Arabidopsis thaliana: one gene and its partner. The protein of the gene in region 2 purifies or fractionates together with the protein of the main gene of each other region. This does not show direct contact. Each region holds a gene or a part of one and is shown on either strand. Other genes may lie near its edges. The genes, in order: NIG1 and MYB28.

The links.
Region 1: the proteins of MYB28 (region 2) and NIG1 purify together in Arabidopsis thaliana (affinity purification with a luminescence readout, with the first as the bait; one study listed by BioGRID). This does not show direct contact.

What each region holds. Positions count from the first base shown.
Region 1 is NC_003076.8:19,000,600-19,005,194, reverse strand, and holds NIG1 (calcium-binding transcription factor NIG1), read right to left. Parts: upstream 2,632-4,595; 5' UTR 2,477-2,631; coding exon 941-2,476; 3' UTR 811-940; downstream 1-810. Other genes in the region: AT5G46825 (uncharacterized protein), read right to left, coding at 2,696-2,776, 2,912-2,981, 3,016-3,069, 3,134-3,150.
Region 2 is NC_003076.8:24,688,336-24,693,147, forward strand, and holds MYB28 (myb domain protein 28), read right to left. Parts: upstream 2,853-4,812; 5' UTR 2,461-2,852; coding exon 2,328-2,460; exon of another isoform or gene 2,248-2,327; coding exon 2,118-2,247; intron 1,978-2,117; coding exon 1,140-1,977; 3' UTR 734-1,139; downstream 1-733. UniProt on the Arabidopsis thaliana protein: Major regulator of short-chained aliphatic glucosinolates (GLSs) biosynthesis. Together with MYB29/HAG3 and MYB76/HAG2, promotes aliphatic glucosinolate biosynthesis but represses indolic glucosinolate biosynthesis.

The DNA of each region.
Region 1 (4,595 bases), 5.7 Mb from region 2:
ATCAAAACCGAAACAAAAGCATAGGAAGATCTTCTACTCTCCATTTTATTTGTTCTTTCTTTTAATGAAGAATATCTCGCTTGTGATGTGTGTTTTGGATTTTGAAACTATATATAATAACAAGATCAGTTTTAAACCTAAGATACATGTATGCTTTAAATTTCTTCTTTGAAAATTAAAAACAAAAGGATAGCAAGAAATGTATTGTCTTACTCACCCACTTAAATTGGGATAGAAAAAATCTAAATTTTTTGATCTTCTTCAACATTTCATTCCAAAAACCCTAATTTTATCTATTAAAGGGTGTGTTTTAAAAAAGGAAAGTTGAAGATTTTTTTAAAAAGATTTTCTTCTAATTTTTATTTTGGTAGTCAAAATAAAATAATTTTAATAAAAACAACCTATCAACAAAAAATAATTTTTATTCAAATCAAATATACCATGTCAATTATAAATTAATTGAGATGGTAAGAGTAAAACTAGAATTTTGCTTTTGTTATTAGATCTTGAGTAAAATTGTAGAAATTAAATTATATGTTTTAATTAAACTATGTATATTTTCCTTCCAACCAAAAAAGTTTGGATATTAAACGTGCAATAATCTTTTTTTGGATTTTTCTCAAAAATATATTCAACCCAAATTTTTACCATTTGGGCTGAAAGTGCAAAATATAAATATTCATCTTTTTCATGTTAGTAAGATGAACAAACAAGAGGAAACAAAAAAAAAAAGAATTCAAGCACCATTTGTGTTTGTGTTCATCTCGTTCATTCCAGGGTTGACCATTTGCAATAAGTCCCCCTAATTTTGGGTCACAAGATTAGAACTGTATATTATCCAAAATCTAATAAAACGGCCATTAACTTATGAGAAAATCAACAAAACTTAATTACACTTTGACCCCATGATTAATTTTCTCAAAACACACCGCAGAAACTCTCAGCTAATTTTCGACATCAACAAATCCCTAAGCTCTTCCTGCTTGTAGATTCTCAACCCCATCTTCACGTTCGCTTGTTGTATCATAAGATCGTTCATCACAGAAATGCTCGCATGATTCACTTCTAACTCCAAATCCATCAAAGCATTCATCAATCTCGCTCCTGGATGATGATCCTTCCTTGATTCAACTCTAACCATTGCATCATCACTTTCCATAATCTTCACTTCGATCTTCATCATCTCTGATGCCTTTTCCTCGTATTTACAAACGCTAGGAATTGCGTTTCGTTGTCCTGCAATCTCCTTGAGTTCATTGAACTGAATCTCAATCGCATGTTTCTCCAATTCAACGTTTTCAGCTTTTGATTTCAGCTCGTTTATGTAACAAACCGCGTCTTCGAGCAACGACGTTTTGTCCATTTTCGATACGTTTGGTACAACCGCTCGTAATGCGTAGAATCTGTGGTTTAGCTTCTCACGTCTCATCCTCTCTGCTTCCACGTGGTTCAAAGGCTTGTCTCTACCATGCGCCGGTTTTCTCCCGCGCTTTTTTCCCTTCTTCTTCTCCAGCATCACCGTCGCGTGAGGGACGACGTTTTGAATCTGATCAGAATAAGTATTAGGGTTCCGATTTTCAAAACTCTGTTTAACATTCTCGCCAAAACTCAGTACATCGCCGCATGGAGCTCTCGCCAATGTGGAAGATGACGTCGAGAAGTTCAAATTATACCGGTTCTGTAGATAAACCGGACTAGGATTCGGGTTACCGGTTACAGTACTTGAACAACTGCTCTCTAACTGAAATGGGAAAAGCTCCGAGTTCGAATTCGGGGCTCCAGAAAAATATTTGGATCCTCCAAAAAGAAACCGGATCCTATTAAAAAGATCCGAATTTGGTCGGATCTCCTCCGTGGATGCAAGCTCCAACACTCCGTTATGTGAAGGAATACACAAGATGGTCTGTAACCCTACATCCCCTCCTTGTTTAGCCCGATCACAACCCGACCCGTAAATCAGATCCGAACCGGTAACCAAAACCGGGTTATAGCTAGCAAACGCCTTACCCGCTAACCCGGATCCGTTACCAAAACTCCACGTCATGGAAACCAAGAAGAACCACTCCATATCCGTCACTTCCACGTCATCGTCATCACTGACGTCGTCTTCAACCACCGGAAACGCTTCGCCGGAGATCATCAAGTTAAGCTCCCGAATAACATTACTCCGACGCTCTTTCTCCTCCGGAGACGACAGAATCGTCTTCTTCCTCCTCAACCTCCCTCGTGTCTTTTCCTCGTTGCCACCAGTGTAAACTCCGTCGCCCCATTTGAGAACTGCTTCACCGGAAAAGTCATCGTACGACGGTTTCCAGAAAATGGCGTAACTCCAGGGCTCGTGGGTTCCATTCAACACAGCATGTAAACGCTTCGGGAGAGTAGTCTCGAGGCTGAGATTCGCCGGAAGTAATGGTGGCGACGGATCGGAGGTCAAGAGAGCTTCGATCATCAATAAGTTATCGTCGGTATTAATCATCGTTGCCGGAGTATTAGAAGTCGTCTCAAGTCTTTGTATTTATATATCTAAACTAAACGAGAAACTATAGAGTATAGAGTGTACTCTTTATTTTGTTTCACACGAGTGCATGAAAATATTACATTTTTCTGTGGTTTTCTTTTCATGAATTTTAACGACCCATGTGCGATAGCTGATGTATCACTATCACCTATCACCAGGTAAAAGGACCACATTTTTCTAGGTAACGGGATTGTTTCGTCGTTGAACAAAATGGATTGAATGAAACACGATTATATGTCGGGAAATTTGCAAAATTGACTAACAAAAAAACTATAATTAAGAAACTAACCAACAACAAAAACAGAGATGATATTTTGTATATAAACTATAATATATACTAAAGTACTCTTATCTACACAATCACCATCTTTTTTATGCTATTACAACCATTACCCTTGCAACCGTCATCATCATCGCATCCACCATTATTTCCACAAATGTCATACCATCATCACCATCACCACTGCAATCGTCACCACCATAGAAACTACCATTACGCTGTCATCTCAACCACCATCACCATTATTGCCGCCGCAATTGACACACGACCACTGCAACCACCAACACAAATATTACTACGACCTACACCATACACACCACCACCACCTTAATCACTTCTTCCTCTCTTCCATTGCTTGTTTCACTTCTCTCGCCTCTTATCTTTTTTTTCTACTTTAACTTAATTAAAACAGAACCGAACTATAGTTTTCTATTTTACTTTCAATTTTGTACCATTCTATTTGCTAGTTAGAACGGAAAAAAATGAAAACGAAGACTCACAAGATCTTATTGAATATTTTCTGGTTTGATCAATATCTAAAATTGAAAATCCCTAACACAAATTTAAACCCAAAATCGAATCGATTTCAATTCGCTTTAGGAAAGGAGAAAAGAGATTAAAAGTATATAAACATGATTTTGTCAGATTTCTAAAAACTGATTCTTGAGATGATTTCATTTAGTTTAATTATTTTTGTTTGGGTTCCATATATAGTATCTTAGGGTTTAGTTTTCTTAAATCAATAGATGTTTTTAAATTAGAATGGATTGATATAAAAAAGTTAAATTTTCTGGAAATTTTTTGTTGGATTGGAGAGAAGAGAAGAAGCAACAAAGAAGATGATGAATGAAAAAGGTCTGTTAAAAAAACATTACCTTTAGATCAATATCTGATTCACAATCCATTACCTTTAGAACATATGGAATATTACCTTTAGATCAATATCTGATCAACAAAACGAAGAAGATGATGAGTCATGGCAAATTGGAAAATAGGGAAATAATGCAGGGATAGACTTGTAATTAGTTAGAGTTTTTGGTTACTTGCTGAATTACGTAAATTATATGGCTATATTCTTAATTTTTGTTCAATTATGGCTATACACCTAGTTCACCCATATATGTTATCACTCTTTCAAAAAAAAAAAAAAAAAAAAAAAATTATCACTCTTTCTTCTTCTTCTTCTTTTTTCTTTTGTTATCACTCTTTAATTCTATATGGATCAGGTTAACAAAACAATGTCAATGGACTTTGTTGCACTGCACTTCCTCATTTTTTTCATTATTACCTATACATTTTGATACTAATATACTCAAAAGTCAAATAACCAATGTTCGATTTCTCCCTTTTAACAATTGGGTTTAACCAAAGTAACGTAAAGAGGCAAAGTTAGCAATGCAATCCTTTAATCTCGCACCCCATCATGATGATTTTAAATAGACATTTTAGTTTTTATGTGTAATGGTGAAGCTTAACATTGATTCTGTGTTTCTATATTTTTTAATGGAGTTATTTTGTAAAATTTAAATAATGACGCAATCTATTGACGGAGCCGTGAATGCTAGATATTGACATTTGACAAAAGAGTTGCATAATTTTGAACTTAAAGTGATTAATGTAACAACAAAAATCTGAAATTACACTGTTTTGTATCTTTGTTTTTTTTTCTTTCAAATTTCATATCTTTATTGGGTTTATGTGGAAGGAAGAGCTTGCATAATGATAAGGAGACCAAGAAAAAGTGGGGAGGAGCAACTGACAAGTTAACACCACATCCTATTTAACAACATTAATGTC
Region 2 (4,812 bases):
TGAGCGATGAGTGGGTCTAAAGGCCATTTATGAAAAGTGAGTAAGACTTCTTATCAGAATTATTGGTCAAACAAAAAAACTCTAAAACATCTTAATTCTTATCGTTTTTTTCTTTATTTGGAATCAATGAGTGTATTAATATATGAAATCATGTTTCTATATCACTATATATTACGTTTTTTTGTGTGTGGTAACCACATAAAATTATACAATATCATTCGAAAAAATTGAAATAAAGAATTAAAAATCATTTAAAAAGTGAAAATTAGAAATCGAATAATTTATTTCTAATTCTTTGACTGCTAGAGCGAATTCAAATAATATGCACATAAATACTTTATATATTATAATATAATTACATTATTATTAAGATTCGATTTTGTGTTTAGACAAGATTTGTAAATCCAATTAGACTTCTGTTTCACCTCGTGATCTTTTGGCTTTCATGTAAATTGTTTATTGACCACACAAATACACTATTATTGCAACGTCTTTTTCGTTTGAGCATTTTTTGTTTGTTTTTCTTTTATTTTTCATTACTTTCACACATTTCTTATTAAATTCTACAATAATAGTAATTGGATTTATCGGAAAGAGAGATGTTGTGGTCGGTTCAAATCCAACGAAAGGTATCACTATACCACTACGTTGAATCGTTGATGACTTGATGCCATGTAAAGTTGTAAACAATAAATGAGTTTAATCATATAAAGAAGAGCATAAAAACCAAAAAGAGCATAATTGATGACTATTATGGGCACTGATGATTATAATGGGAAGTACTACTACGAAATAAGATAAATAAAACAAGCTTTAGAAAGAAATATTAGTATAAACATCGTGGCCCGCACAAATCAATTACCAATTGATTCGCGAGGTTACATGCATGGTTCTCAATGTAAGAGAAACCCTAACTCAAACCCTATTTTATTTATTCTTGGGGAAACTTAAGTGTTAAGATTAACCCTTGTTTAACATCGTAATAAACACGCCTTGGACATATAGTAAACAACCCAAATACTAATTAATACATACACAATATCTCGTTCGAGCGAGTTAGTAATCGACTAACCTTGGGTACAGAACCATTATTTTAAGTCGTCGAATAGTTTGAAACCTTTCTGTTTGGATATGAAGACTCATATGAAATGCTTTTCAAGCGAGTCTGAGTCGGTGTCATACATAAAATTGGTATGGTCAAGAAGATAATTTGACCATCCCTCGAAGTTTCCTACCATATTGTCTTGATCATCAACGCTAGTTGATGAGACTTCTTGGGAAACATCGGACATAAGGAGATCATTCATACTGTTCTCCTCATTGTGGTTATCTCCTCCGAATTTTTCGAAAAATTGTGAAAAATCGTAATCTTGGTCCATGTTGAGATCAGAAGTAGCATTGATCTCATGTTCGGGGTACAACGATGATGGGGAGAAGGGATCAAATTCAGCAAGAGTATTTGTCAGGGATGTGTTAGAACTATCCTCTTCATTGCGAATCTGCTCAGTGAAGCCATTAAAAAAGCTTGCATGTGATATTGTAGTAGCACTCAAGCTACCTTCCATGGAAGCCGACAATATATCTTTGATGGAAGTGGCCTTAGCCGCAACTTTGTTCAAGAGCCTTGATGTAGAACTTGATTTCTTGAAACGTTTCTTGCAACTCAAGGAACTGCCTTGAATCGGTGTCCCATCATTGCTGCTAAGCTCGGAGACCTTGGAAACCATGTTGCAACTGGATGGAGGAGGACGAGACAGAAAAGGCATTGAGCTCGATCGGGAGTATTGCTTGTCGGAACTAGAGGCATTTGGGGAATTCAAATTCTCATCGACCGTAGGGTTGGAACTAGAAGCCAGTGGCTTGTGAGTCACGGGATCAATACCCTGTTCCATCAAACGTTTTTTGAGATGCGTGTTCCAGTAGTTCTTGATCTCGTTGTCTGTTCTTCTAGGTAAATGTCTCGCTATGACCGACCACCTAAAGAAAATAAGATAGATCGGAGACCAAGATTAAAATGATGATTATGTCTACATAATAAATATTATATGAAAACTTTTTCATGAAATTCATTTCACATTCGAGGGTCCACGCACACACATAGAAACATAGAAACGTACTTGTTGCCACGAGAAGCATGAAGCATGATGATAATCTGCTCTTCCTCTGAACTAAACTCGCCTCTTTTGATCTCAGGTTTAAGGTAGTTGGTCCATCGCAGTCTACAACTCTTTCCACACCGTTTCAACCCTAATCAGACACAATATGTTTATCAGAACAATTTTCTACAACAAGTACAAAAATGAGTGTATGTATAGATTTGTATAAACCAGCTTTTTGGGGAATGTCGCGCCAGCCTCCCTCGCCGTGGTCGTGGATGTAAGAGATGAGTTTCTTGTCCTCCTCGGTGGTCCATGCTCCTTTCTTCAAGCCTTCTCCGACGCAACATGGCTTTCTTGACATTGTTTTTCGATATAGATGAACAATAATGCGTAAAATTTCATATAATTAACCTCTCACAAAACTCAAGATATAGGAACAGAGAAAAACTATATATGTTCAAAAAAGTAAAATTCTGAAGGAAATTGTTTAATCAGATAAGGAAAAAGAAACAGATCTGTTAATGAGAACTCTGATACATCTGAATATGAAACTGATCGAGAAACACCCTTTGATCTTACCCACACTGCTGCTACGTGTTTTCATTTTTTTAACGCAGAGTAGATTTTAAAAAAAATATATGTTATAAGCTTATGGAAAAGAACCAAGAGGCATGATTTCTGTGGTAGTGGTGAGGTTATGAGCTATTCCATATATATACACGTACGTAATGAGATTTTTTTTTTTTTTTTTTTGTGAAAACGTAACAAGATAGTTATGGTTAGTAAATTATTTAAATAGATCAATAGTTAAAAAGGATAATTCGTAACTTTTCTATGAAAATAATGTCCGAAAAGTGGTGTTTGTATAGTACTATATTTTCCTACTTTCAGGTATTTTAAATACGGTAATGCGCTTCGGTACGAGATGCAATATTTTAATTTATATATCACGTAAACGTACCTGTAGGTTCTTGCATATTTGTACATTTAACTTTTGGTTATTAAAAAAAAATTGAATGATTGATCCAACATGGAGAGTTGGAGGGGAATAACTAAAGGGACGTTTGCAAATATATATAACTTTTAAGAATTCGATTGTATTATATATATATCTTTGCAGATATTTTTGTATTGTTTAAATAGTTGGTTTCTGTTAGGTATATATATAAAAAAAAACTATCAAACAGTTTAATACTTAAAACGTATTTTACTATTTTTATACTGCAAACGCATAATGAAAAAACAAATCTGGTTAACGAGAAAGTATAAATTTACATTATTGTTTTTCTTATCAATAATAAACATTATTGTTCATCATTGAGAATGAAAGGGTGATTGTAACATCACGTGTTTTTTTTCCAGCGTAGGTCCTTTTTGTTTGCCACTTTTGTGGCTGTTGTATTATTGCTCGTCGTCTATACCACCTTAACATATTCTTCTTTCCATTGTCTAAAAATCATTCTTAAACAAAAAATATTCTTCTATTTATATCATTCCCTCTTTGACTCTCTCAACCTAAACCTTATGATTTAATTCGAACTAGTCTTGATGAGGTTTCCTAAGGTTTTGTTAGTTATCGGAATAGTTAGAACAATATTTTCTGATGCTATTCTTCACGTATGTATATGTACCTATGATTTTATCTCATGCGCATTTTTCAAGGTAGAGTGAAAAAGATAAAATTTATACTCCCATGGATCGTTTAAAACTAGACCTTGTTTGATCTAGAAAAATATTTTACATAGAACACAAACTTGTATTGTATATAAATTTAATCAAATTTAACATCTTATTTTGCATTATAAAACAAAAATATGTTAGTGCCACAAAGTAAATTCTATATAATTAAACACCTGCCACACCTACACTCTTAAGCTAGGTCTGCCCCTGCCTAGTTCTCGTACTGCAAGCTAAGTGAACTCTTATCAATTTGTGCGTGTGTATATTTTACTTTGCTATTTTGAAGTTCTTGATTATTATTCTTTAAGTCGGATTTAGTATTTAGTTTTTAACAAAAGGAACTCTTACAAGGAAGATAGAATATGATACAGCTATGCTTGAAGAAGGCTTGGGTTTAACATTTCGTTTTGGTCGGTTTTCGTGTTGAAGCTTTCTATGGATAGAAGCCAATCTCTCATTGTTCTGTTGGTTCTAGTCATTGCTGGAGTGAAAATGTTAAGAGCTACGATAGCTCCAAACTGTGTAAAAAGATTACCTGAAGTAGGAGTTTTATGAGAGCGCCACATATTTAAACCATCTGCATTTCTACAATTTTGTTAGGATCAGTTTGGGTTACTACATAGAGTAATCATTTGATTCTTCTTTCTTTTGGGAAAATTTTAGTCAATAAGTATTGATTATATCCCTAAGATCCGCTGGTTCCAGTCAGTTATATATGTCAACCTACTTAAACGGTCCCATAGTGTATCTTCACTTATTCTTGATTATTTCCTTGGTCCCATAATATTTTAGTTATTTTGCAAACTAAAACTCACCATAATCCTTCATTTTACAAACCTAAATTTTCGCAACGACTCACTTCCGAGCATTTACATTGCTTCAATTCTTCTAACTCTTCGTGATTTTGTAGCTTTTTTTGTTGCGGTTTTATCTTATTCTCCACTATCATTTTGCAAAACAAGTTGCTCTACATTTTATTTTGTGTCCTAACTTTTTTCTAGTGACGTAAATTTTATACTTGGACAGGTTGCTT